4 linked regions of the Drosophila melanogaster genome follow. The protein of the gene in region 3 interacts with the protein of the main gene of each other region in a pairwise test. Each region holds a gene or a part of one and is shown on either strand. Other genes may lie near its edges. The genes, in order: Lim1, toy, AOX1 and CG4250.

The links.
Region 1: the proteins of AOX1 (region 3) and Lim1 interact in a two-hybrid assay, tested with the Drosophila melanogaster proteins (one large-scale study listed by BioGRID).
Region 2: the proteins of AOX1 (region 3) and toy interact in a two-hybrid assay, tested with the Drosophila melanogaster proteins (one large-scale study listed by BioGRID).
Region 4: the proteins of AOX1 (region 3) and CG4250 interact in a two-hybrid assay, tested with the Drosophila melanogaster proteins (one large-scale study listed by BioGRID).

What each region holds. Positions count from the first base shown.
Region 1 is NC_004354.4:8,801,590-8,809,018, reverse strand, and holds the start of Lim1 (LIM homeobox 1), read left to right. Parts: upstream 1-3,214; 5' UTR 3,215-4,012; coding exon 4,013-4,055; intron 4,056-7,429.
Region 2 is NC_004353.4:986,491-993,563, reverse strand, and holds the start of toy (twin of eyeless), read right to left. Parts: upstream 3,840-7,073; 5' UTR 3,313-3,839; coding exon 3,062-3,312; intron 1,499-3,061; coding exon 1,318-1,498; intron 1-1,317.
Region 3 is NT_033777.3:15,530,558-15,540,421, forward strand, and holds AOX1 (aldehyde oxidase 1), read right to left. Parts: upstream 6,736-9,864; 5' UTR 6,519-6,735; coding exon 6,479-6,518; intron 6,000-6,478; coding exon 5,071-5,999; intron 4,962-5,070; coding exon 4,728-4,961; intron 4,506-4,727; coding exon 2,690-4,505; intron 2,632-2,689; coding exon 2,011-2,631; intron 1,951-2,010; coding exon 1,769-1,950; 3' UTR 1,580-1,768; downstream 1-1,579. Other genes in the region: CG31296 (uncharacterized protein), read right to left, coding at 1-275, 335-735, 791-916; AOX2 (aldehyde oxidase 2), read right to left, coding at 7,286-8,415, 8,481-9,518, 9,582-9,864.
Region 4 is NT_033778.4:22,660,946-22,666,687, reverse strand, and holds CG4250 (uncharacterized protein), read right to left. Parts: upstream 2,997-5,742; 5' UTR 2,944-2,996; coding exon 2,775-2,943; intron 2,700-2,774; coding exon 2,567-2,699; intron 2,514-2,566; coding exon 2,411-2,513; 3' UTR 2,214-2,410; downstream 1-2,213. Other genes in the region: CG42867 (uncharacterized protein), read right to left, coding at 739-841, 904-1,004; CG42565 (uncharacterized protein), read right to left, coding at 5,523-5,619.

The sequences.
Region 1 (7,429 bases), on a different chromosome or scaffold from region 3:
TCCTTGTAAATCCTCTTTCTTTTCGTGACATGGCGACGTCCGTTTGCTGTTTGTTCAGTTCGTGACTGGTCGCATTTAGGGGGCGGAATGGGAGGGGCAAGTGGGCGTGGCGGGGCAACCACTTGACTCCCAAAACTTGGGAGCCGCGTTCTTCGTTGTTGTCAGAATCCAAATCATTTTTCGCAATAAATAAATAGTAATTTAAGGTTAGGAGGAATCAAAATTATCATAAAGCTTAGAATGCACAGATATCGAAGATATATTCAAAAACAAAGTATTTAACAATATTTTCACAAATTTTGTAAAATTTGTAATTTTTTTTTTTTTTTTCAGCCACTATTCTCTTGACCGCAGCTGTACACCCCGGCCCCCAAAAATATCGCCTGCCAAAAGTTTATGGCGCGTCGCGAAGTTCGTCGCGCTTTTCTTGCCTTTCATGATTTTCTTGCTTTTATTGTTGATTTTGTTGTGGCCATCGACCTGCCACCCCCACTGCCGCCCCATTTAGGTGGGCGGTGCTGTTTCTGCAGTGTGGGCGTGGCAGTTAGCTGCGGCTTATCACGGCCTGTCCAACATTTTCTTACCGCTACTTGTTTGTTTTCGGTCGAGTAGTCGTTTTTTTTTTGCAATCCCCTCACCAAAAGTCCGAATATTTTGGTACCTGGCCAGATTTAAAATATTTATTTTTCCTTTAAAACCGACATCTAAAGTAATATCTAAAGTAATAGTGACTGTGGCTTGGATTTGAACAATTATTCGTTAAATGGGGTTCATTTGATTTCAGAAAGAGTATTCAAGAACATTGTTTTAAAACTGTTGTGCTCCTGCTTGTTTTTCGTTGCTACTGCGATTTTTTGATAACTGACATTTGTTGGCAAAGGTGGAAGGAAGGAGGTGGGTTAAGTGGAGATGAGGACAGGACGCCAAGTGAAGCTAGAGGGGATGCAAAAAGGAAGCAGAGGAACCTGAGCAGTTACAGAAGCCAAAGGTAAAGGTAATGTTAAGGCAAAGCCAAAGGTAACGAGCGCGGCTGAATGAGATGACAGATTAGGGATCACAATGTGCTGTGGGTGGATCCCCAGCTTGGCTCTTATCCTCTATTCCTTATACCCAAGACATTCTCCTTTTCCTTGTGTTCTTTTGGGGTCTTGAATGTAAATAACTTGTTGCTTGCCAAAAAGTGTATTATAAATATCTTATTCCTCGAGAGTAGTTATGTAAGTGTTTTTGCTTCAATATCCTTTTTATTCCATTCCTATTATGTCCTCATCCCTTTTGCTCTTACTAAATTTGGGGCAAAGCAGTTTTCAAGGCCGTCAAAGATCAACTGATTTCGATAACTTTTCGATAGCGCAGAACAAGTGAAAAGTGACACGCACACGCAAAAACAAAAAGCAAGCACTTCACAGCTTAACACCCTAATGTGCAATATTTTTGACTACCCCACATCCACGCACACAGCAAACGGCGCTCTTTAACCCACCACAGCCCCCTTATTTTGTGTCGAACATCTTCTTCTTCCTATCGAAGTGTGAGTGAGAGGGAAGACCGTAAGGAGTGAATGAGAGCGGGAGCCTCCTCCCCGACCTTTATAATGCGTTCTCTTTTACTCTCACTTATTTTATGCATTTTTTTTATTTTATCCAGTTTTGTCTTTTCTTGTTGTTTGTTTAGATCTTTGGCATTTTTGCAATTTGAATCCTATATTATTTCTTATGGTTTTTATTGGTTTTTGTATTGGTTTATTTTTACGATAAGTGTCTTGCTATAGATTTATCTAAATCGAAAGCTTATTAAAATTGCATTTGTTAAAGAAAAAGAAAAAGATATAATATTTTGCACAATTTTAAATGTTTTTTTCTACTAATTTTTTGTTACTTGCAATTTATCTAACACTTTTTCTTTGCTTTTTTTTCTTCGCCTCCGTTTTTTTTTCTTGCTGTCTCCAGTGCGTTAAAACGCCAAAGGGGCGTCCCTCTCCAGCTAACGCCCCCACCACCCCCCGCCACTAGTGCTCTCCCTTTCGCACTGCTAACGACAAGTGACAAACACAAGTTGCAGAAGAGGCAGCCGAACAAAAACAACAACTAAAAATAAAAAAGAAGGAAAGAAAAAAGTTTTTGCGACCAACAGTTGACAGTCGAAAAGCATTTGACATTTTACCTTGGCACGCACACAAGCACCGCCAAGTGCGAAAGGGACAAAACGCGGGCAAATGTCACTTTGAAAAATGCCATTGGCCCGGCCAGCGAGTGTGAGCGAGAGGGCGCGACGGCCGGAGAGCGTGAGAGCGAGAGAGCGCCATTTTGCGCATCTCTCAATGAAGCAACAATAAAAAAACCAGTTGCTTAGCAACGCCCCCTCTAACCGCAAAAAAGAGAGCTGGAGAGCAGGAGAGCCAGTGTTGCAACAACAATGGGCAAAATGGAAGGGCAACAACAGCAACAAAAACCAAAAATATCCTTACAGGAACAACGCCAGCACCAATCTTGAGAAAAGGATCAAAAGCCCAAGATCAACAGAAGAATGTGTGTAGAATTTAAAAAAAAAGTGAATTTTTGGATTTTTAAAATCTTATGAATCTAACAAGCATCTAGTAAGGCTAACTAAATATTTAGTTATCATGCTAAATATATCAAAATTTTCAAAGAACTTATATTGTGTATTATCGAACAATCACCTAAATTAAATCCTAAAAAAGGAAAAAAAATTAAGATTTCTTGATATTTTTTTCCAATTGTTATGAAATTGTATATCCTTTTCCAAAATATTTTTAATAATAATCTAGATATGCATACCAAATATTCTAGTCATATTTTTTCCATTTTTTTAGAAAACGTTTTGAAAAACAATTTTTTTATTTAAGAATAATATGATTTCTTCATGCCCAACACGAGAGAGCCAGGAGAAGCGACGGAAGCGAGAGCGAGAGAGCCTGCGACTCCATTGCAGCGCCGCCAGCAGCGCAGTCGGCGTCGCAGCAGCCCCAGCTCAACATTCGCTGCATCTCGCTCTGGCGCAGGCGAAATATGCGAGCACTGCTTGCCGCATTCGGTAGCACGAGTGCGAGCGATGCGCCTGCTAGCATCTCGCTCGCACCCAGGCGCGCCATTCGTCGCCGCTTCGGCTCGCCGTTCGTGTGTGTGCGTGTGCGCTCGGCTGGCAGCTATCGGTAATCGGGCCGTCCGCTTTGCCGTCGCGTTTGCCGTTTTCCGTTTTCAGTTTTTGTTTGACGTTCGCGTGAAGCGCCCGCAAAACGCAAAGCGCACGAGGCAACGCTCGAAAAAGGAGCCAACGCAGCCGTTTACCGTTAGTCAGCTGTTTACCGTTCCGCCGCGAGATCGAAAACCGAGAATTTTTGCCGTTGTTCAAATTTTTTTGCAAGTGAGAATCTTGAACAACAAGAAGAATATACAACACATAAATACAACAAAACCAAGGAATCGCCGAAAAGCCGATAGTGCAAAGTGTTTAAAAAGAAAAGAATCAATTTCATATACAACAACTAAAGAAATACTGGAATATAAGGCATAATAGAAGCGGAGGAAGTTTCTTCAACTCAAAGAGGAGCGGAATTTCGCGCTTTGTTTTTGTTTTGCCAAATTTGCCGCCGGCACACACGTGCTATCCCCCTCTTGCTCGCACCTTGCCACCCAGTCTTTATGTGCGTTAACCGTTAAGTGTGCAGTTGGGGCCCGCTCCTATCTTTCTCTCCCTCTCTCTCTCGCTTCCGCACCCGCACACACACACATATATCCACACCCACGCGCGCCTCGTTCACATACGCACACACACGCGGGACTTAACCCATTGACGGCCCCCCCAAAAAAGCAGTCACTCTTAACCCCCCCGAAAAAAAGAAAAACTCCATCCCCCCGGCATCAAGATATTCGACAACAAAATTCTCACCGAGGCCTCAAAAGCGCCCCTGAGGGCCGTCGCACTGGCGTCATATCTGGGCGACGGGTTCGCCGCCCTCGGTAGCCGCGCCCCCCCGCCCAAGGACCATCTGATGGCGTTCGGGGCGGTACTACACACCAGCCAGCACAATATCGGTAAGTGATCGTTTTGGGGAATTTAGGCATTAAGCGGTTAAGGGTCCAGGAAAACATAGAAAATCTGGGGGGTTTGCAGTGAGAATCCCAAACAGGCAAGTTCTTAAGGTTAGTCACATATAGGATACTGCAATCGAAATCATTTCATCCAAGAATCAGCACTAAATCTTTGAGTTGTGCTTGTAGTTCTATAGAATAATATCATTGGGAAGTCAAGGATGAAACATTTTACAGATCGAAAATAGAAGTTGTTTACATCTAATCTAGATTAAGTAATATTCATGATGTCCTCTATCGAAATAGAATGAAAACACCTGTTTGTAGGCTTCGTATAATATTTAAATTGTTTATAAAATCTGTAGACGAGTGATCAATGACACCAATGACACATTTCAAAAATACTTTTAAAAGATGGCAAAGAAGTGAATTTTCGAAAAATGTACTGACAAAAAAGTGGAATCTATTAAAAATGGCTTGATCGCTATGCCGACGGGATGTGGTCTTAGATTTTCAACTGGTGGTAGAAAGACATAAGAAAAGTAGGGTCGAGTGCGGTCGAAAGTCCTTAAAAGGAAGTCAACCCCTTGAAGGATCGGCGAAATGCGATCCCTAGGATGGTGGGTTAATACAATACCGCTTGCCCGCAATGGGTTAAGATGGCCAAGGAGTTTTTAATGGCGACGGCTGGGCAGCAGCAAAGTTTTTGCACTTTTGAACTTGCTTCCCGTTTTTAGGGGACCGCCGGCGAGGAGGAGAGGGGCGTCTAATGCCCCGTCGTCCATCTGCCGTCTCTTTTTCGCATTACCATTTTGTATGCTTTTGAAGTTCTTGTTCATCTGTTTTTGTTTCGGTTTTGTTTTTCCTCCTCTTGTTTTCCCGTTCGTTTTTGGACTGAAAAACTTTTGCGCAGTTGTCAAAGTTTTTCAGCTTCTTCTTCTGCCGTTCTTCCTCTACCCCATCTCATTTTTTTTGGCTTTTGTTTTATTTCATTTGCTCTCTGTCAAATTTTCACTTTTGCTGACTGTTTAATGTCAGGAACAAAAAAAAAAAAAAAAAAAAAAAATAGTAAAAAGGGAGCAAAAAGTTCAGAAATGAAGGCTCCCCTCTAGTTTTGTATTTTGTGATTAGTTGGTGAGGAATATTTCGTTTATATGTATGTATGTAGCTCCCCATCAATTTGAATAACTATAAAAAACATTTATAAACTACAAAATTAAGGATCTGCAGAGATTTAGAGACCGAACACTCTTTTCGAGTATATTTTGGATTCTTATCAAAAGAAATGAAATGAGAAATGATTTAAGTACATATTAGTAAAAATGTAGTAAGGTATTTTATACCACAAAAAATTTTTCAAAAATATTCTAAAATCCTCAATAGCTTCGTTTTCGAACCAGTGAGGTTCGATGGAAATTGCAACTGCAAATTCTCCATTTAACTTGTTGACATTGGACATACAGCGGCCGACACCTTACTTCCCCCATAAATTGGCTAGAGAACTGTTGGGGTTTTTGGGCTTGGGGCCTGCAGCTCCGGGGGCGGTTCAAGTCAAAAGCTGTCGACATTTGACTGGAAAATGGATGTTCAGGAAGCCGTAGACCCGCACAGTGGGCCACCTTACGACGGCGGACTGATGCCAAGTGGAGTCGTAAAGCTGCCAAGCTTTCTTCTTCCTGCTTCTACTGTTTCTCGGTTGGATTTTTTTGTTTTTGTTTTATTTCTCGCTCATAGACATACCCATTAGCTAATGACTAAGTGTTGGCAGTTATGAACTTAACTTGCATTTAGTTGGGGAAAACTACAAAGTAAAGTACCACTGAATATAACTCGGCTTAATGAAGATAACTTTTCCGCGCAGTAGCTGTATCTTTTTTCGAAAGTTCGTAAAGTAATTTGGAATCAGGAAAGATATCCAATTTTTTATGGTATAGTTAAGGTTTTGAAATGAGATGGAAAAAATGTATTGGAAATACTTAAGATAGGATACCAATTTAGGTCGTTGAATCTTTGGTAATGTGTTTATTCTTAAGGAATTTAGTTTTCAAAACTTCAATAGAATAGGGTAACCCCTCGTCGTTCAATTACCAATATCATCGGCCATTTCTCTGGTCGACTGCTCATTTTTCTTCGCATATATCTTGGTGGCAGCATCTTTTCAATTTTTATGTTGCTGCTAGCGAACACGGCAGCAACATGCAGCAACAGCAACGTGCAGCAACAGCAACGTGCAACAGCAGCAACGTGCAACAGCAGCAGCAGCAGCAACAAAAGCTCAGACCGGCAACGCCTTCGACAAAAGTTTGCGCTGCTGTTCATCAACATTTATGACTGGCCACAAAGGAAGATCATTACGATCCCGAAGATTACGATTATGGGGTGTAGTAGGCTCATGCATACATATGTATATACTCGAATGTATGCAGGCAGGATGGGATCGTGGGGTCTGTGGCTCCTCTGTTTCTGTGCAACATTATTTCCGTGGAAGCTTTTGTCCAAGGAAATGTGATTTTTCTAGCCGTTTTTAGACCTGCGCTGTTGGACATTTACGACGACAGCAACGTGGACTCAACTGCAGCTTCAACTTGTCCATCAACGGCTCTATGGATCCTTTCGTTGATTTATGGGGCAAGAAGCAAGAAGCGTAGACACGGCAGCCGTGCTTATGCAGCTGCCGCATTTAGCAACTTCAAACTGCAAGTCGACAGTGAGGGGTTAAGGTCTAGTTCCAGGGCGTGGCACGGCCCATAAATTGCCATGCATAATGAGGCGTTGAGACCCTCTCTTCTTGTCAATATATTGTGCGATTTTCACTGCCTTCTCCGGTGGTCGGTCGCCAAACTATCGCTGGCTGGAACAAAGAAACACACACACACACACACACAAAATTGGTAATTGGAAACCCGTTTCTCGATCAACGCCACTTTCAAATTAAAAGTCATTACAATAAAGTCGCTCGATCCAAGACGCAGATTGGCGGAAGTCAGCCGAAGAGTCTAATAAAACAAAATCGAGGCGGTTTTAGAACTTTGTAGAACAGCAAACTAAATTATACATCTTTTCTTAGCGTGCCTTCAGTTTTTATATGAAGAAATCCATTATTACAAATCTAAAATACTTTTATGTTTTTAATTTGTTTACGTAGTTTAGGCTTAAACTGATAACCTGCCATTGTTGAGAAATTGCAATGCCTTTATTTGAATATGGACAATATGAAATCCTTTACCATAGTCCATTTGATCGCCCCCTCTCGCTCTTGTCACCGCTCTCCATCTCTGTCTGACGCCTGTCGCCGTCTCTGTCTCCGTGTCTGTTCCTGTCCTCTGTCCCTGTCTTCTGTCCCGTGCTATGAGAGTTATGAGGGGCCCCCCAACTGT
Region 2 (7,073 bases), on a different chromosome or scaffold from region 3:
TTCCGAAGCTAGCTTCCTTTGCGTTATTGAAAATTGATATTTTCAAAATTTAGCTCATTAATAGTACTGTAACCGCCCAAATAATATGGTTTCCGAGATTCCGACGTTTATACAGAGTAATGGACAGGTAGTCATGATTAGATCGATCCAGTGTTACAAGCGGGCGACTGACGGGCATGCCAGATCGACTCAGCTGGTGATTCTAATTTAAACAAAAGAGAATTTTTTAAATTTGTACAAGTGTGAGCGTGGGAGTTTTTTGTGGGCTATGGGCGTGGCAACATCGTTAAACAAACTTACGCTGCGTTTTTGCCTCTGGAATCTGCATGCCTTATCTTAACTTTTATTAGCGTTTCATACGGCCATACGGACGGACAGACGGGCATGGTCAGATCTACCAGTTACACGTCATTTCGACGAATCAAGATTACCCTTTTGCTCTACGAGTAGCGGGTTAGTTTTGTGTACATATACGATGTAGGTTTCATTCTATCAGTTGCATGATTTTTAACAGATTTTCAATATTCATTTGGTGTACCGATAAAAATTGCAATGAAAAACAATAAAAAATATTGAACAACATTTTCAAAGGATGGACCTGACGTTTTGGCTTCTGTGTAATGACTCTGTAATGACACATTTCTGCTTTACTAGAATCTGCATGCATAATATCTCAGCTTTTTTACTTCCCGAGATCACAGCGTTTGTATGGACTGTTTAGGAATATATACTTTATAAAATCGCGAACGCTGTCTTCTACCTGTAATGTTATTTTCAACGAATCCAGTATACCATTTTACTCTACGAGTAACTGTATCATTAATCAGAGTTTTTAAGAGAACAGGAAAACAACTATAAATAGCTTAAAGCTATAAGGCTCTATTAGAAAATTCGTTTGAAACAATCTTCCAGCTTTAAACTTCTAAAATTTTTAACTTAAGACAGAAAGAGAGGTACAGACTGGTCCTAGATCCATCCTGATCATGAATATACATATATATTTTTAAGGATCGAAAACGCTTAAAATGGTATGTTAGAACTTTTATTAGTCAGATCAGAGTTTTTAAGAGAACAGGAAAACAACTATAAATAGCTTAAAGCTATAAGGCTCTATTAGAAAGTTAGTTTGAAACAATCTTTCAGCTTTAAACTTCTAAAATTTTTAACGTAAGACAGAAAGAGAGGTACGGACTGGTCCTAGATCCTGATCATGAATATACATATATATTTTTAAGGATCGAAAACGCTTAAAATGGTATGTTAGAACTTTTATTAGCACGTGCAGAAATATTATTATGTGCGCAAAATATAACTTACACTTGGAATGTTATCACTATTGCAAACTTGTTCCGATAGCAGTCGATCTCGTATTTCCCACGCAAATATGCTGGGACATTCCCGTTTGTAATCTGCAATTTTTTGCACAACCGGGGTTGTAGCTACTCGTGGCTTTGAACCACCTATAGCTCGAGGTTTTATCGATCCAGTTTCATAATATCTAAAAAAAATAAACTTATTTACATTTTATCTGAGTAGTCATTAAAAGTAGATAATAGAATAAACAATGAATATACAATCAATTTAGATTTGGCTGTATATTTTCTTATTTTGCAAAGAACAGAGAATTTAAAAATACGTTCTTCTTAAGATATGATTTTGATTTTTATGTATTATGATCATAAATGGTGAATGTGTTTCAATAATCAGAGTCACACAATGAGAGATTGGGATGGGGGCCTGATTTCAAATTTTCATATTACGAAAATCATTGATTTTCTTACTCTAAAGTATTTATAATAGAACTGCTAATATCTGATTAGTTCCAATTATGTAACTTAGTAGTCGAAAGCCGTAAATATTCTCGGGAAGAGCAGTGCTTATAGTAAAGTAAAAAAGGACATTCCTCTAGTATTGATTGAAAAATCCTCTTTCCAAAATGTTAGATGAGCACAAAAAAACAATTCGGAGTGCAGTGCTTGTAAATGCGAGCTGCAACTTGTAAAAAGAAAAGCGCAGCGATTCATTAGTGGTGACAATGCTAAACGCCGTCGAAATGTTTAGCGTCGAGATAATAAAAACTATAAGCAAACCTCAGCGTCAACAGTCAACACTTTCAGTTGTAGACATTAAATTAGTTAAATGCAGCCGGTATATAAATATTTTGCGAATGGCATATAGGATTGAATATAGAATATATGCTAAACAAAATAACATAAGTATTAATTAGAAGCCAGGGGAGAAATGTATTTGTTAGTGTTGTACAATGGACAGCACTTGCAATACGGACACCAATAACGCCGTAAAGAGGTTCTTCCAACAAACAAATTTGGCTACTCGCAAAACAGATGCTAAGCAAGTTCTCTTTAATCATACGCAGTCTTACGATCATTGGTTAGTTGATACGAAATAGACTAGGAGGCATTCGGATCTTATGCATATAGAAACTACTGAAACGTTAGTAAGGCCATTAACTTACCAAAAACAGAGAGAATGCTATAGTCGAATTCCCCGACTATACGACTAAATACGAAAGCAAAATTGTGTTATTTTTCTGGGATCCGTTTTTTGCGTTTTGTTGGTGTAAGAAGGGGTGTGGCGAAAGTGTTTTTGGTATACCGATAGAAGACAAACAATAAAACGATTAAAAATCAACACTTTTTTTAAAAGTGTTGGCAATATGGGTCAACAAACTTGCGCTACGTCCATATCTCTACAATCAGTATGCCTAATTCCAACCATCTAGCTTTTATAGTTCCTGAGATCGAGACATTCATACGGACAGACGGAATATATACATACTTCATATGGTCGGGAACGCATCCTTCTTCCTGTTGCATACTTTTCAACAAATCTAATATACCTTTTGACTCTTTGAGTAACGGGTATAATAATCGAATCTTTCATATTTTCCAAATTTAATATCACTCCCTGGTTTAAACGCAGTGCTTATATAATAAAGTCCGAAGTCAGAAATTTTAGCTGAGCAGTTTGTTTGTTGGAGGCTACTTTCGTAGTTCCTGTTTAGTTAAGAAAATGTCATTATGCACTCGAAATGCCTCACCTGCCCAAAATTTTGCTTACGCAACCGTTGGACACTTGTAGTATTCTTGAAATATCACAAGGACGTGCGCCGGAATGAGCCAATTCGACAATTTTTTGACGCGTTGAATCGGGCAGTGGCCGGCCATTAACATATACGCCGCCCAGCTGATTTATTCCGCTATGGCCCGCCGTGGAGCACCCAAATAGAGTACTCTGCCCGACTGACGAGTGGGGATGCCCATGCATTATGTGTTCAGTTGTTAGCATCATAATTAATTATTTTTAATGCGGCGTTGGAGACTTCGACGGTGGCTGACGTGCGTATGTTTATTATTGAAAGTGAGAAAGTAGGATTACTCCCTTTTTCATTGTTGTTAGAAGGGGGGCTTCGTTGCCAACTTTGTACATCCCATATATATTATCTTCTTCACCTGGTAATCAAACTCCAGACTATCACTTCAGACGTTTTAACATTTATCACTTTTTACTTGCCAGGATATGAACTTTCACTTTATGAGTTTTGTTTTAAGTGTGCACGATGGAAAGCGTTAAAGTGTTTTAAAACTGTATCATAGATCGTTTATGAAAATGGTCCCGATATTTTCCGTCGAAAGTACGGGTCCGCAGCCCGGCGGCAGCGCCACGGATGGCGACCTAGTTTATTAATCTGGGAATAATTTGCATTCAAAATGATCGAATAGTGACGTAGGTATCGGTTTAAGCTTGAACAAAAATTTCTTTTGCTAACTGGTTTCAGTGACGAGGTGCGCACTTAGCCAAGCGAAACGTTAATGAGCTCTCATGCGAAAAAACACTGGCAAGAGCAACGGCTAACACATCGGCCAGCCATTTTGGCGGCGTTGCTCTAGTTGTCTCTTTTCATTTGCAGTCAGCGATAGCTAACAACGTTGCTGTTTTCCGTGCCGTGAAAAGAGATAGCTATAGAGACATGAGGAAGAGAGGCATTACAACAAAATCCATCGTGCGCACATCTGGCAAATAGGAGTTGCGTAGGAAAGAGACGGCTATGGAAGAAAGAAAAGTGTACCCTATCCGCTTGAAAATCTTTTTGAAGTTTTGGTTGGTTGTTAAATATATCGTGGGCAACTTTAACATTATGGATTCAGCGATAATAACGCTGGAAAATAAAACTGAATTTATATAAACATAGATGGTTGTGTATATGTGTAAGTCTTATTCATCATTGTATGCATATGTTTGGTTGTGATGATATTTTATCATGTTTAATGCACTTAATCCCTAAAATATTTGATTATATAACCATGTATCCAAAAGTTTAAGAATCTGATCATTCTGAATAACATACAATCTAATCGTTTGCCATACCTTTGTTTTAAAAAAGTATAGAACGACTAGTTATTTATTGCCCTGTATCAATTCCCCATCTTTACGTTAAGTATTATTATATTTCTGATGTCGGTTGTGTTAATATACAAAAATACATTCACATATAAAAACTATGAGTGCATTTTATTAGTTTTAATTTAAATTTAAAATTGAACAGCAATAAAAACGTATTCAGGAAGGTCAAACAGTATCAGGAGTTCAAAATGCCTTGCCTTACCTGTAGCGTGATCTGCGTGACTTGGGCTTGAGATGAAGTTTGTATTGTTAACTTTAAAGAGTATTTAGTATTTGTAAATTTTTTGTTGTATATCTATACAAAATATTAAATATGTAAATACATAAATTGTCTGTTCTGCTACTTCTGCTTGTATTTACATTTTCGATATCTATTATTTACAGAAATTAAACCCCCAAGTAACAGCATTCAAAACCTAAACCACCCCAAAAAGCCACCACTGAGCTTACTTGCTCTCAACATCCTGTCCGACACGTTTTTTGGATTTTTGAAGTCACACGCATCAACGAATCTATTTCCCCTTCCACCACAATTTCCATTATTGTAGTGCCGGCATCCAGTGTGCTGGGCTTCTTCAAAGGGGCATATTCTTGAATCGCCTTTTTGTCATTCCTATTGCGTGTGCCAAAAATTTCATGGCGCATTGTAAAGGTGACGAATCTGATTTTCCTGGAATGTGTGAAAATACCTTAATTTATATTATTTAGCGTAGTGTCTGGGCTGCAACAAATGCATATAACCATTAAATTTTGCACTCATGATATTTGATTTTTCTTGCGTACCTACTTACTAGTAGAGTCTCTATCGATATGCTAAACAATAATTTAGCCACGTCTACTCTAAAGCCTACATTTTGTTTGATGTTTTTTTAATTTCAATATCTTTATCAATGTGTAAAATAGAATGTCAGAAGGAAGCGCCTACATAAAGTATCTGTATTCTTGGTCAGGGCCACTAGCCGAGTCGATCTAGCCCTATCCGTCCGTATTAACGTCGAAATCTCAGGAAATATATAAGCTAACAGGTTGAGATTAGGCATATAGATTAGAGACATAGACGCGGCTCAAGTTTGTTGACCCATATCGTCAACTCCCACAAATCGCCCAAAACCGCCACGCCCACACTTTTGAAAAATGTTTTGAAATTATATCATATTTGTATTAGTTTTGTACATTTTTATCGATTTGCCCAAAAACCGCCCAGAGCTGACAGGCCCAGACTTCCGAAAAATATTTCGATAAAATAAACGCTAAAATAAATGTATAAATATAATTAATAATCATATATAAATAGACTTGTACGAAATGAAAACGGTCGCTAGGTGAATAGAGGGCTTGGCGCTCTGCGAATCTCTCCCTTAGAGGTGGCTTAATTTAGCTAGGTAACAGGTATGAGAAAGCCGGGAAAAATTTTATTCCATCTCGGTATTTTTACCTGTCTTTCATTTAATCAAGTTTCTTTTTTCTCTTTCGGTACCATTTGCTTAGTGCATAAGTCGAAGTAGTTACCTTCGCATACTTCCACAGTTACATTAATAGTGAAGGCAGACGACAATACGTTCAATTTGGATTGGTTATATAAAAATATGTGATTAAGTAATATTTTATATTTAACAAGAGAGAACACGAGTTCCCCGACTATCAGATACCCGTTACTCAGCTAGTATGATGATATGATATTCATGATATTCTGGTTTGTGGGCGGTAGAGTGGGCGTGGCAACATGGGTCAACAAACTTGCGCTGCTTCTTTCACAAGAGAGTAGGTTATAGTTGATCACCTCAGCTAGTGGTAGCGCAGCGTAGATATTTTAACTTTTAATTGTCAAATGTATTGGAATTGACAAGATAAAATAATGAAATGAAATATAAGTCAAACAATTTTCACATGCGTGAGTAACAGCTTTGCGCGGTTTGGACCGTTACACTGGGCGTGGCAACCTTTTAAACCAAACTTGCACACCGTAATCGTATCCATACTATACATGCCTAATCTCATACTCTATAGGCTTAATAGTCCAAACATTATTATTCTCCTGCTGAGAGTTACTCTAAAATAAGCCCCTAAGAATATTTCTGCAAGTCAAGGACATAATTTGAAATATATTTGTTAAAATATGTGGCTTATAAGTTGCGCCTTTTATGTCATTATTCTAATTCTAGTCCTTTGCAGTATTAATTTAAATACAGTAACAACACTTAATAACAAAATTTGATACTCATAACTAAGGAGGTATACAGGTATTTCAATCGCAGAGCACGTTTCTCCCACGACGCACTGAATATACACCTTGGTCGCTGCGTTACAGTTTTGACGCTTTAATTGTAAACGTTTAATTTCAAAAAATAACCAATTGTTTATTTTTGTGACAAGTGGCGCAGTTGTGAAGATTACATAAAAGGAACAAGTGTTACAATTCCCATGTATAATTTTATGAGCATTAAATATGTATGAACAACAATAGAGTTAAAGTCAGGGTTGCCAGCATAGCATTGAATAAACGAAATTCCTAACGCATTTTATTATTGAGACAACTTAAAACCATAATAACTTACTTTTAAATAGCAGTGCGTTAAGAAAATGAAGTACTCGATACATACATACATATGCCTACACTTTGTCGGGAAATCGAGATTTATCTGAAAAAT
Region 3 (9,864 bases):
CGAGGGGTAACTGGAATACCCTTGCATTTAGCATTGGCTTATTGTTTTCGTAGTTTTCACCAACAGCACAAAGTGCTGAGTATGTGGGATCCAAGCGCTTGCAAGCAGCTCCTGGTCTCATAGACATCCGGTAGATGGGTCGCTCCACGAAGAGATCGGTGCTGAAGGCGCACAAGAAGACGAAGTTGTGGACGGAGTGCACGGTGAATCTCATAGCCGAACAGCCCACATGGGTGTTCCGATCTGCCATCAGTAGTAGGGCTTTTGCTATTCCACTGAAGATGCAATGATTAGCTGTTTGAACTATTAATTGGCTTATTAATATATATCTCACCTTTTCCCCAAAGTTGTCGGCATATAGACACCCATTTTAATGTTGACATAATCCGCATATCTGGTCCAATGCTGTATTATCCGCAACATGAGTTCTAGGTCCTCGTAGTCGTTCAAGTTACCCAAATAGTGGGTGGAACCTATATTGGTACCCACGTAATAGAACTCCTGTGAGTTCAGGCAAAACTTGTGCGTGGAGCACGTGATGACCGCCAGTCGGGCTAAGTCCTCCAGTTCCATTGAGTAACTCAATCGGGACATTCGTGCCGCCGCTGCCTTGAGATACTTTTGCTTCCCGCTCGCCGTATAATTGCGAAACTCATTGAAGGCAATTAGTAATAAATTCCTGTAGGTCGACATGGAAAGAGTTCTGGCATTCGGTGGACACATGACGCTGAATTTCTGAGCAAATACACAATTTCACGGATGTAGTTTCTTCAGATTGTACTCCACTCACCGATGGGTTATTACAGGCTAGGTTATTTGTACCGCAGTAAGGCAGCTGGCAAAAATCAACCAACTTGCTGCATCCAAAGGGAATGAAATTGAGCAGTGCTACGAATATGAACCCACTTAGTTCCATTTTCTAGTGAAGTCTGGAGGTTTTGCTAGGGGAAATTCGCCTATTTATTGCCTAGACAAAGTATGTATATTTAACTGTAATAACAGTTTCTTCTAGGAACATAAAAAGCTGCGGCTAATGTTTATAAACATATGATTTCTTGGGAAGTGAGAGAGCTTATATGTATAGCGCTACCTGGTTTAACTGTAGCAACCATACCTCGTTTGATATTATTAATTATAACTGGTATGCTATATCCCGAAACCACAGGGATCTTAAACTCCCCCAATTAAAGCTGCCACATTCATTATAAGTGTGTCAATTGAACAATGTCGTCAGGGATGTGCTCATTAAGGGCACAGCAGTTGGCGATATTTGAAAAATCCATTAGGTCCTTCTGCCACGACCGCAAGGCAACTGCTGCCCCCGCCTTCCTTTTCCGCGTCCACCCCGCCCTCGACCTTTTGGCCAGATCACACTTAACGCTTCGTGTGGCATAAAATTTCTATACAACAATTTATGTTAAAATTAATGAAGACCTCTTGGCGGGGTGTGTCCGCGTGTTGAGGTGTTAAGCATTAAGCAAGAGCCCGGAAAATGTAAATTCCGAATGCCTGGAGCTCTGGACAGGGGCTTCTGTTGACCCAGGCCGACGGCTGGCTGGCAATGAATGTCATTTGGATTAAGCGTTGGATAAGTTTTTAATTTATTGTGCAGACAACACAATGTCGGCTAGTCTAGAGTCGGCGGATCCGCCAGGTTAAGTGGGGGTGTAAGTGCAGGTTATCTTGGCGTGCTTATCGGAGCGTTCCCATCGTGGCCACGTGCCATGTCCCACGGTCAGGGATACGAGTCCACATTCTTCTTCTCCACCTAGTTCAGCTTGAACTGGCTGGGCTCGGTGCCCGAGTGGAGGACCAGGTGCTCGGGGGTCATCGGGGCGGTGAGGGTCACCCAAGACTTGGGCACGCCGGCGTCATCGCGAGCTGATTGCAGGGCCTGCTGCAGGGCAAAGGCGACTGCGATGGACAAACAGATGGCTGGCTCTCCGGTGGCTAAGGATAAAGAAGTCCCAGTTAGCTGGATTCACAACCATGCTGTAGATAGATACTCACCCTTGGATCTCATGAAGCCCGCCTTGTTGGGACTCTTGGGGAGCAGCTCGATGCGCAGATCAGTGGGTATGTCCTTAGCTCCTGGTGGCTTATACGTCCAGGTACGATTCGTGAGACACTCGCCCGTCTTCGGATCCGCAATCACTTGCTCGCTGGTCCAGTAGCCCAAGCCCATCATGAATGCACCCTCGATCTGGCCAATATCCACATTGGGATTCAGACTCTCACCAGTGTCCTCCAGGATGTCCACTCGGCCCACAATGTAGTTACCGGTGAGGACATCCAACTCCACCTCGGTGAGGCAGAGACCGCATACGGAGTACGGATCCATGTCGCCCTGCTTGCACTGATCGCTGGCGATCAGATTGATCTTGCGGTTGTAGGCCTCCTGGATGAGGTCCTGCCAATTCTCGGGCTTCACCTCCTCGCGCACGGGCTTCAATCGTTCATTTAGAGTCTCGCACGCCTTGCGGACTGCAAAGCAGAGGGTTTCACTGCCCACAGCCCCTCCAGTGACCATGGAGTTGGCTCCGTTGATGGTATCGCTGGCCTCGATGCGTACCTGTTCCATCGGAATGCCTAGGGTGTGGGCCGCCACCTGCGAGATCTTGGTGTTCATGCCTAGCAAAGAGATACAAAAGTTTAAGACCAGCTTCTTTACCCAAGGACCATCACTCACCTTGACCCATTTCAATGCCTCCATGGGAAACCACCACGGTGCCATCGCTGTGGTAGATAGCCACCGTAGCGGGGTATTGTCCGAAGTAACCGATCTGGTACTCCATGATACACAAACCCAATCCGCGCTTGTGCCAGCGGTTCTCCTTGTTGTGGGCTATAGCCTCCGCCTTCCGTTCCCTGTACTTGGTACTTTCCAGGAATCGCGGCATCATGTCGCCCATTTTATGGGCGGGTAGCAAATTGGCGAATCGCACGTCAGCCGGATCCACTCCAGTCTCGAAGGCGATGTGCTCGATGATATTTTCCATCATTGCAATACCCTCCACGGAGCCAGGAGCACGGCACGGAGTATTCGATGGCGAATCCGTGCAGACTAGGTAGCCATCCAGTTTGTAGTTGTCGCTGAACTCGTAGCAATTCTTGGATAGCAAAACGGTATGACCAATGGGTGATTCGTTGGCCAGATATCCAGCATCCTCGTAGAATCGACTAACGATACCGGAGATCTTTCCGGATTTCTGAACGAAAAAGTCGTAGTCGCAATGGAAGGCCCAGCGTTTGCCCAGACTGGTCATGATGGACTCCAAGGACTGGACGAATCTAATGGGTCTGTTCAGCTTGTGAGCAGCCAGAGCAGCAGCGGCAGCAGCCAGATTGCATCGTGTGGCTTTGCCTCCATATCCTCCTCCAATACGACGCGTCTTTACCTGAACATCGTTGGACTTGAGGTTCAGCACATTGGCGATGGTGTCCTGGGTTAGGTCCATCCACTGGGTGGCAGCGTACACCTGCAAGCCGCCCTCGAAGGGCAGAACCACTGTTGTCTGCGGTTCCATGTAGTAGTGGTACTGGAGTCCCATATCCAGTTGGCCGGAGGAGCTCACATCAAAGGGTTCCTCCAGCTGGAGGACATCGATGGTGGACTTGATGGGCTGCTCCAACCGCTTGTTATTGCCAGCTTCGGATCCAACTTTGTCTAGCACTGCCTTCAAGGAGGGTAGTATTTCTTCCGCTCCGCCCTCGTAGGTCAGTTTCACCAGCTCTGCTGCCCGATTGGCCAGCGAATTGGAGTTGGCTAGGATTATGCCCACGGGCTGACCATAAAACTTAATCTCTCCCGTGGCGAATAGTTCCTCATCCTTGGGGAAGAAAAACTGGTCCCGGATTTTGGGCCCAACGTAGTTCGGTCCCGGAATGTCCTTGGCATCGAGGTACGCCACCACCCCGGGTAGATCCAGAGCCGGTTGCGTATCCACCTTGGTGACTTTTGCGCCCACCTTCTTCGCGATGACAAACGCAGCCCACAACTGGTTGTGCTGGGTGGGCAGATCGTTGGAGTAGGTGGCTTCGCCAGAGCACTGGATCAGACCCTCATGCTTCTCTGTTGCCTTGGTCACCGGGTAGTGCTCCTGGAAGGTCTCAAAACTCTGCTGGCCACTTGAAACGGGACGTTTCAGGAGAGAACCGCCTGTGACGAATCGACTGCCCAAACCCTGCTTTCGCTGAGCCGCTATCTTCAAGAGGAACTTGTAGAAAAGACCACAGGCCAACTTGCGTCGGTAGACGGGTGAAGCATCCGGAAGAACGGCATCTGGCTGAAGCAGGGTGGACAGCTGCCCGAAGGCCTTCTCCACCAATCCGTTCTCGAAGGGATTCTTGTCCCGAATCAAGTTTTCAATCGCTGTGGCATGCACGAATTCGGGATGGATGCCACCGAAGCAAATGCGAGCTGATTTCACCTTGGCGTCTGCCGTGAACTCCACGAGGAAAGCAGCGTTCACATAGGCATGGGCATTCTGCGCACGGGGCATAATCTGTTAAAAGAGTAAAATTAAAATATATTCAATTTTAAATGATTTGTAAATGAAAGAATGGCTATCTTATCAGCTTTGAGATAATCACCCCAAAGTGTCGTAATTGCTCGTTTTTTTCGCATTTCTAAAAACTTACAAGACATTTGTAAAGTCGCATTACTTTCGTTGATAAGAAATTGTACTGCACTTCACTACTTCGAATACTCCATAATTTGCACTCACCTTGTAGGAGTCAAATGCAAACCGCTCCTTGGGATACGCGCGCAGCACCAGACCACGGATAATCTTTCCCTCCATGGAAGAGCCCAGATAGCTGGCCAGGCTGACAGTCTGCTGCTTGTCCACCGCCTCCTGGACAATCACTTGAGCATCTAGGGCCTCCAGGACGATGAACACATCCGAGGGGAACTCCGGGTGGGCATGCTTGATGGACAGATTGCCCGCCAAGGTGCCAGCCTGGGTTAATGCGAAATGGGTTGATAAACACAAGGTGCTCAAGGTGTTTTCATTGTTGGCCTGATTAGATAAGGGTCGAGGGCTTTCAAACCTCTTGGATTTGACTTACATTGCGCACTGGAACATTAGCGATCCAATCGAGGTGTTGCCACACCTGAGACAAATACTCGAAGCCCTTCGTGTTCTCCAACTGGCGACACAGCTCCATGGTTTCACTGAGACTCAGATTTCCACCGAGAGTTAGGGATGAGTTATCTGCGCTCAGCTTATGACCCTTGAGCTCCGCCAAGCCGGAAACATCGATGAATGCCTTTATGTCCGGACTACGTCTGTAGACGCCGTGGGCCGTATTTCCAGCCACCAGCATGTAGGGCAGCTTCTCTTTGACTGCTCCCTGCAGAGCGGCAAAGAGGTCACCCAGACTCACTGGCCAACTCCAGCGGCTGCCATCCGGATACAGTTGGCTGCCCTTGGGCTGCTGCTTCTTGCAGCTGCCGGAGCAGGTTTGGCCGGTCTTGGGACACTTTTTGGTGCTCAGGTCTTCAATGTCAATGCACTCAGCTGGTACCTGGATGTTGCTGTCCACGGCAAAGGATTTCATGGCGTCAAGAATGGGACGATAGCCAGTGCAGCGACAGATGTTGCCTCCAAAGGAGTTCTCCACCTCCTCCATTGTGACCTTGCCGCCCTTGGACTTCAGCAGGCCGTACATGTTCATCACGATTCCCGGCGAGCAGTAGCCGCACTGGGTGCCGTTCATCTTGGCCAGTCGCTGCTGGATGGCATGGTAGCCGACCCGCTTGTTGCCCAATCCCTCCGAAGTGGTCACCTCCAGGCCCAAGCACGTATTCAGCAGCGTGAGGCACGAGTTGACCGCCCAGGTGCGCAGCTCTCCGGTCTCCGGATGAATCCCAGTCAGGGTGCAGACGCAGACGCCGCATCCGCCCTCCTGGCACATGAACTTCGTGCCCGTTAATCCGGCATACTCTCGGATGAAAGTGTTCAGCGAGATATCCGCCGGCAGGGCAGACAGGTTGACTAGGGGGCACAAGCAAACGGAGGCATAAGTGTCTACACAATCCGGGTGTTATCTTATCGAGTAGCCTAATTCCTCACAACATGTCAAAGAACAATTGTTTGCGATATCTGCTTCTTATGAGCTAACGATTGCTGCTGAGCTATTATTTAAATATTTTAGAAGAAAATGCTTGTAATTGATATTCAGTACCTCTCAGTTTGTAGAAGTGCTCTGATGGGCTAATGAAAATAAATTAGCAAAATGAAATGGAACCCTATAAAATATTGTTACAACTGTTTTGGAAACGAGTCTAGCCATGTTTTACTCAGAAGTAATTCACCAAGCTTTTCACAAGGTCGTCGCAACTCTCATCTAACTAGCAGGTATTTAGTAGTCGAATTTCTCGACCCTGGTGTTCCAGTTCGTTGTCTCGGCAATCTTGTAGATGCCAGCCCCCATCAATCCATAGGCAATTAACTGCCCACACATGCATACACACCTTCGTGGCTGGTGCCGTTGATTGTAATTCTTCCAGCCATTATCTGTGAATTATATAAGTCCCTTGAATCACTTAAAAGCCGTCCGGGAATCGTTGTGAAATTAATTGCAGCCTTTCTCGCCTTCAATTGACGCGGGTGTTCAGAATTATTTGGATGGTTATAGTGGGTTCTGGAAACTATGTTATTTCACAATATGTGGCAATGAGTCCACTTGTCAGCCTCGTTTGATTCCACGCCGAACTGCGAGCGACTGAGGGTATGGGCCTTCCGTAGCCCCATATATATAGTGGTTCTCCGGCCCTCGAAAGAGACTCCCGCCTCTCCAAGTTCAAGTTCACCTGCTCCCCGCTCTTAACTACCATGTTCCATATACTGCGCTCACAATTCAGCATTAGATCATCGTAGCACTCTGAAACGTTATCGTCTGCCGGTTTCAAATACTCTCCCTCGGTTTTGGAACTGAAAGCTTTATCAGTAAACGGCTTGTTTCGACGTTTTTGTTTTGCTCATATTTCTAAACAAAACGGCGAGATTATGTTCGGAATAAGGGGAACTAGTCCTATAAACAGAGTGGTGCCTTATGAGCGAAAGATTTCTTCAAAACATATATGTACATATGTATACAATTCTATTAGGAATTATATAACAGGAGAACGATTCTTCAAAACTTCAAACGATTTCCACACGATTCTATATTTATTTAGTAAGATAAATTACATAATACAGATAAAGAAATCAAAAGATCGAAGCAGTACACCAAATGAAATATCGAAAAATACCCAAATCTAAGCCAGAACTTCATTTCATTACAAGGCGAATGCTTCCACCTGGCTTCCGGAGTTAAGGACGACCGTTTCCGGCGTCGTTGGTGCCCCCAAGCGAACCCACTCCCTCGGAAGACCCGCATCGTTCCTGGCCGACTGGATGGCGTGTTGCATGGCGAACAGAGCTCCGACAGCCAGACACAGAGCAGGCTCACCCGTGGCCTTGGATCGCATAAAGCCCACGGGGTTGGGACTCTTCTGGAGCAACTCGATGCGAAAGTCTATCGGGATATCCTTGGCGCCTGGTGGGTGGTAGTTCCAGGTGCGGTTTGTCAGAATCTGACCTGTCTGACGATCGTAAACCAGCTGCTCGGTGAGATAGTATCCCAAACCCATGACAAAAGCGCCCTCCACTTGACCCACATCTATATGTGGACTCAGGCTTTCCCCGGCATCCTCTAGGATGTCAACCCGGCGGATCAGATGGTTGCCCGTCAGAATGTCCAGTTCCAGTTCGGTGAGACTCAACCCGAAGATGTTGTAGTTGGGGATATCCCCCAACCGGTAAGATTCCGTGGCGATGAGAAACACGGACTGCAAAAAGGCCGCTTGGAGCACCTGCACCCAGGAGGCCCGAGGTCCGAGTCTTTCCTTCACCGGAGCCAGTCGCTTGTTTAGAGTGTCGCAGGCTTTTCTCACTGCCAATCCGATCATCTCGCTGGTCATCGAGTTGGCCGTCAGCATGGAGTTGGCTCCGTTTACAGTATTGCTGGCCTCGACTCTCACCTGGTCCAACGGAACACCCAGCACGAATGCTGCCACCTGGGCCGCCTTGGTGTTCACTCCTTGGCCAATCTCAATGCCTCCGTGAGAGATCACCACCGACCCGTCCTCATGATAGATGGCCACTGTGACCGGATAGTTGAAGGCCACGGTCGTGTTCAGCGGGAAACTCATTAGGGCCAATCCCAGACCTCGTTTGCGCCATCGGTTCTGGGAGTTGAATAAGTTAATCTGGTCCCGCCGCTTGTGGTACTCTGTGGAGGCCAGGAACTTTGGCAGCAGCTGCACCATTTTATTTCCGGGCTGAAGATTTACCAAACGAACGTCGGCAGGATCTAGCTGGCAGGTGAAGGCTATGTGCTCCAAAGCGGTCTCCGTCATGGCGATTCCTGTGAATGTGAACGATATTGTATATGTAAATACTGTAAACCTTTTTAAATGGTTTTTGACTTACCCTCTGCGGAACCAGGAGCTCGACACCAAGTGGAGCTGGGTGCATCCGTTCTGATGGCACTGCCTTGGGTCCTATAGTTCGCGTCAGTCAGATTGTAAACATTCCTCAGAATTGGCAGAGTCAGGAAGTCAACGACGTTCTCATTTAGATTACATCCGGAATCCTCATAGTAGTTATTACTCAACATGATAATGGATCCATTGGCTCTGGCTCGGAACTCGTAGTCCGATCTGCAGGCCCATCGTTTGCCAATGGTCTCCATCATGGACTCTATGGTCTGGACAAATCTGGCAGGTCTCCTTAGCTTTGAAGCCACCAAAGCCGTGGCGCAAGCAACTATATTGCCTCTAGTGACCTTTGCACCATACGCTCCACCCACTCGTCTAACTTGGAGCTGAATGGAGTTCACACTAACTTTCAACATGTGGGCAATCGCTCCTTGGGTGGCGTCCATCCATTGGGTGGCGCAGTATACCTGCAGAATGTTATCAAGCGGCACCACGATGGTTGTTTGTGGTTCCATAGTGAAGTGGTATTGGGACGCAAGCTCCAGGATCCCTCTGCCAAGAACATCGCCAGGTGCGAGAGGAGGCAGCTTTAGGGGTTCCACGGTATCCTTCTTCGTGCTCACAATCCGATCGGTTTGCTTTTCCGCTAACACTTGGTTCATGGTCGTGAAGATCTTTCGCTGATCCCGGGCATATGTGACCACAACCAATGTGGCAGCATAGACAGCCGCATCATGGGTGAGAGCTGCGATGACTCCCAACGGTTGATCAAAGTATTTGACTCGCCCGGCAACAAAGACCTCGTCCACTTCAGGTGTAAGCTGATTCACCAGAACGAAGTTGTTGGAGCCTGGGATATCTTCGGCCGAATAGAAGGCCACCACTCCCTTGCACTGAAGGGCAGCAGAAGGATCGATCTGCTCAATGGTGGCACCCACTCTCTTCGCAGTTACAAACGCACAATGGACGGCATTTGAGGTTGTCAGTAGATCGTTCATATACGTGGCCTCGCCAGAGCACTGAATGAGACCTGGAAATCCAAATCGATAATAATAATACCACGTATGGAAAAGGGTTTTCTTAAACGATGTACCTTCTAGTTTTTGAACTGGTTGCGTGACGGGATAGTTTTTTTTAATCGTCTCAAAGGATTGGCTTCCCGAGGAAAGTGGTCTCTCCAGTAGCAAGCCTCCAGTCCGAAAACGCTCCCGAACTCGCTCCTTGGGTGCGGTGGCCAGCAGAAACTTGTAAAGCAAGGAGCAGGCTAGCATTTGGCGATATTCCGGGGAGGCCTCCGGAGGACGCTCCTCGGGTTGCAAGCTAGCTGGGAGTTCCTGAAAGATCTGCGCAACTGTGGCGGGATCGTACAGATCCCT
Region 4 (5,742 bases), on a different chromosome or scaffold from region 3:
CTTTAGAATTTGCATTACTCATCCAAATTATCACTAACATTTTTATTTATCGGTTGTCCGCAGCAACAAAAGGATCTAAAATAAGACAAACTTGAAACTGTATTTCATCTGGACGAAGGCAATCTTAGCTCAAGAATAACATACAGCGTATTAAACCACAATCTTTGGCTCCACGACAACTTGAAGTCCTCGGAATTAAGACATACTTGGGACGTATCTTTTGCTCCAGAATTCGGAATTGTAGCCTTCGGTTCGGATAAACTTTTGTAAACCTCCGCGGACCGTCCTTTGAATGCTGGTGTGCTTTTGCGTGGCATCTTTTCAGAACTAAGTTCATTTAATCTTCTATTTATTAAGCCTCAAAACTGTACTCCCGAATTCTAGGAACAAGTCCAAGCTGAACTGATAAGGCCCCACTGTTATCAACAAGCTTTTCTCAAGAGTATTTCTAGTATATCGAACAATTCAAGATGCCGGAAATAAAATCCCCTAGGCCTTACTTTTATCTTAAATTCTTTTTACAAGCCGAGCTCCAGACATCTGGAAAAATAAATACGTATTTTATTGCTTAAAACATATTACACTTAAAGTTCATGTATAGGCTTGCTGCTTTGGAATTTTTCAAAGTGCATTTCCAAAGCTCAAAAGCTCGTGTATATATATTTCATCTGCACTCTGTGGTAAACAGAAATGCAACAGCATTCCTATTTTATTTCAGATTGAGATTCGTATGCCATCTTAGGGGGATCGGTTAGGATCGCCTTTCCAGCCACAGGAACTGCATTTGTAGTAGGATTCATAAATGCCGACTCCACAATATCGATGACCGCAGCATATTGCACTAGCAAATATAAACATTTCAGTTGAAGTTGAAGTAATATCTTCTCATGTGCACTAAAGTACCAAAAATCCATCTTAAGCTTCTTGAATCGCGAGATAGCCAGGCGACTTCTCCTCACCATGGTATGTGAATCGCAGTTGGGACAGTTCGAATCTGTCGACATTTCACTGGAAGCTCCAAGCTTCAACTATCTTTTGTGCAATGCAGTTTGATTGCCGGTTGCATGTTGCAATTGGGTGACTCATGGAATTCTCATGAAGTCAACGAAACATACACATGAGCGTATCAGAGAAATTTAAAAATACTACTACATATATACTTATACACTCTGTTATCAGTTTTAAACTGCAAACTGTGTATTCGAATGGATTTAATAAGTTGATAACTGCGTAAATTTCAAATATCAATTTTTATGTTTTTTGCTACATTGTTTTGACTTTGCACCCAATTTTTGAGCAAACATTCGTTGCTGGAATATAATTGCGATATTAGTTATTTATCGTATATCTATCGTACATTGTAAGCACTATAATTTACCAGTATCTTATAACACATCCATCTATGGTAGTCTTCATAACTCATAGAACGCTTTCTTTCGACACTCGTGACTCGAATTTGCACGTTTCACAAACTATCGTTGTACAGAAGTCTGAATTATCGCGATGTTTGTGAAATAGGAGGAGGAGTTGGAATTCTTTGGTTTTTACCCTGATCATAACATTACGCTGGGTTTTCCATTTCACGCTGACGTCTAGAGCGCAGCTCAAGTTCAATTTACTGAACTCGCATTTCATTTCAATTTGCCTGAACTGAAATGATAATACTGACTGCTGGAATCAGCGAAGCTGATGAATCTCGGCAAATATGAAATCCGCTTGCTTGAATAATAACTTACTTATATAAACATGTTAATAAAATTGGACATCGAATTTGCATCATTTCAGGTATTAATCTGGATACTAGTTGCCAACATTTTTTAAATTATATGAAATTAACTAAATATTGTTGCCCATCTTTTTTATTGGTATTATTGCAGAAAAAGTTGTAATCAAATAAACGGATAAGCGATCAAATTACCTTGTTTCTTCCCTATTCCTTTGTTTAGTGTTTAATTCGAAGAGGGGAAATATAAAATCTAGGTATTAAATTACAAACCTTTTTCCACTGTTCATTGACATAAGTTGTTCAATATACATATATATATATATATATATCCAGTTTCAAGAAGAGGCAGCGATTGTTAGATCAACAATGTGAATGAAGTTATATAAAGGGCGTAGGATGCAGAACCTCAGATAAAAATATCTATAATATATTCCCGCCTCAGAAATTTCCGGGATTTATTAATATTATATACGAAAGTGTTAACATTCATATATCGCCAACAATTTGTGTGATTAGAAATTTATTTTGAAAAGTAAACCAATGCGAAAATTACATACATATATTCAATTGATTTGAACCAGAGTTGTATTTCGTGAATATTCGTGCCAAATCTGATCCCATCAATAGGTGTGGAGATACAAAGTGGGATCTATCCCTGTAATATTTGGTGTTGAGATAGCACTTCTAGTTCTTGTAGGTGCCCACGTAGGCTCCACAGCTGGTGCAGGTGTGTTTGGCCGACTGGCAGGAGTCGGTGCAGTACGGAATGCAGCAGCAGCAAATGCCCCTGAAAATGGCCATTAGTCCTGCGGGCAGGTGGAGCAAACGGGCTGCACTTACCCCAGCATGCAGATGAGTAGGGCCAACAGGTGGGTCTTGGTGCTGGGCTCGAACTCCACCTTCGTCTCCCTGCGGACGCCGCAGCTCGGACAAGTGGCAACGGATGGACATTGGCCCAGGACATTGGGTGGAGCTGAAAGAGGCACGATTGGATTTCGTATAATATGCGATATTATATTTTATGTTTGAATTGCACAGAAGAATTGACCATTATTTCCGATTGATTCATAGTTCTCTGTATTCTCACCCTGCAATATCACTCCCTGTCCCTGATGGAGCTGAGGATAGACCTGCTGCGGTGCGCTATCATAACTGGGCGGTGCCTGGAAACCCGGAGCCTGAGGCTGCATATTCTCGTATTGAAAGTTCTTCTCCATTCTAATTATTCCGACCGATGTGTGCTACGCGTTTGAATTGCCGACAGCGACTGAAACCGCAGAGAGCTCCTCCAACATTGCTCGGCGAACTTTCGAGTTGCGGCGCGATGCGAATTCTATATAGCCCTACTATGTCGGATGGCTTGCTAAGCGATTTCCGTTAAATATTATGTGGCTATCAGAATAAGGGCTTTTACATGAGTAAGTGTTCTTTTTTTTTTGCAGGATGAAAAGCTTTAGTAAGAAATTGCTCAGCCATGATGAATTAATTAATATCAAAACTTACCAATAAAACAGAAATGTTAGCACTTAGTAGGGTATTCCATTGTCAGGTAAACAAACCAGTAGCTTTTACCCTTCCGAAATGGTCCTTCCAGCTATGCTATTAGCACGTATATAACAACAATTTGCATATTTATTGAAAACATAAGAAATACTCAACTCTGCTCAAGAATTGCGTTGTCTCTAAAACAAATCAACCCCCAGGTAAAATCCACTCGTTTCTTCCTTGAACCCTTTTATTGGTGTGCTGAAGAATACATATGCCGGCACTACAATGATTTGTTTTGTTATCAAAATAGTGCGTAGTAATAAATGTGAGAGAGTTAAAAATAGATCAAGTGGGGATAAGTAATGGGGGCTGCATTTCGGCACGGCTGCTGGCTGCAGTCCACGACAAAAAAAAAAAAACAACTTCCGGCGGAAGTTGCTCAGCGCTCGTAGGTGCCAATGTAGGCGTTGCAAGATGGACAGTGGTGGTCGGAGTTCCGGGCGCATTGAGTGCAGTACAGGCAGCAAGCAGGGCCAAAGGCTGCACGAAAGAGATCACTCAATGAGAATGCACCCAGAATGTTAAGAAATCAATATCGAACATGGCTTACAAGGTAAGGCACATAATCAATGCTATCAGGTGAGTCTTGGTGGTGGCTTTCGGCTCCACACGAGTGGTAACCTGTTGACGGCAACTGGGGCAGACCACGATGCACGGTTCCGGGCCAACGGAAGTGGACATTTCGATGGCGGAGCTGCAGAAAGAAAGCACAGGAAACTCTAATAACTCTCATATTGATTGCAGCGCAGACCTTGAAAACTTGAATACGTCGCGTGCCGCTGGTGCATGAGCATTAAATTGGCTGGTTAATGGGGATTTTAATTGCACACCCGCCATGCAAAACAAGCTGTAATCCGCCTTATCTCCCGTCGATGGCACCACGGTGCTGCGCAATCCCTCCTGCCGCCGTGAGGTCATCCTCGTGGGCCACGGAATCTCTTGTGCCATGTGGCAAGCTTCGTGCCGACGCCGTCATCGCACAACCGCGTGTGTCTGAGCCCCGCTCAACCCCGATTCCATCCATCATCTTTGCTCGTCGTTTGGTGCAACTTGCTTGCTCGGTCTGGTCCTATCCAAAATCAACACAATCTATTTATGTATGTTCTCACTAGCGCAAACCACCCAGCACAGTATCCTTATTTAACAGCGGGTGTGTCCGTCGCCAGTGATTAACATTCCCCCCGAAATCCTACTGTCGTCCTGTATGTCTTTGCTGAGTTCTCCCCCAAGCAAAAGTAAATTTTTTGGGGAGCGGCAAAGCAGCGGTAAACATCTAAACAACCAGATATTACCCAATTAGACCTGACTATAATAGTCCGTTGCTCATGTTTGACCCAATCCTAGGCTTGCATAATATATCTCTCCCGTCATACTTACAATCTGTATGGGTGGGTACGTTGTCAAAATAAATAAAGTAGAATTCCGATTTCACAGAGAGACAAAAAGTTAATGCGCACTGTTTGGGCTGCGAAAGTGTTGTGCGGTCAGAAGTTTAGGGCGCGAAGCGGGACACTACACTTCCAAAAGTATTTCCGTTAGCAACATTATGTTGCCTAACTGGGAAGTGATATTTATATACATCCTTAAAATTGATTACAGCGTATCCCTAGGCTGAGTTAAATTAAAATCCTTTTATTCCATTTCTTAAGAACTAAACATTTAGCAGAAATTCAAATATTTTACTAAATATTCAATTATAATGCAAAGAACTTCAGTGATTTCATTTAATAGCATGAACAGTAATCTTGAAGCATCTTAGCATCAATTTAAACTGTGCCAACATGCCGGTTCGTCCCAGCAACATTTTACCGGTTCAAAACAGTTTCATATCAACATTTATTGCTGGACACAAAAGAGTTGTGCTACGAAAAAGTTTCGGGAAAAGACCGCCAAAAAGTACACAAAAACAAAAAAAAAAAACGTATGAACAATTAAGTTTCACATTATTTTTTCTGCAAATCTAGTTGTCTGCAGCAACAATGTAGCCAGATACCCAGAAACAGAAATTAAAGAAAATTCCATTCGCTTCAAAATCTATTTGTTTATTTTTTCGCTGTCAGCTTATTTTGCTCACTAAGCAAACATATTTTTATGTATGTTAAGTGATGAAGACACCACATTGACGCCGTCGATACATAAGGAGATATGAACATACATACATATATGTATGTATAGTTGGTTATGTATATATATATACATATATATAAAATGAAATGATATGAAATCGGCGAGTGTTTTCGCTGCGTCTTCAAAACGAACCCAAGCAGGAGTTGCAGTTGGGACAGTACTGGGAGGTCTTGTAGCAACAGTTGCAGCAGCAAGGGGCGCAGACGCAGGGCCAGCATCTGGTGGATAGAGATGGGAAATAGAGTATATAGCTTATAAGGCACGATCAGCAATTTCTCATAGCTTGTCCAGGAAGAAGCAAAACAATTGCGGCCACAGATATAGCAGACTAGTAAAAACAT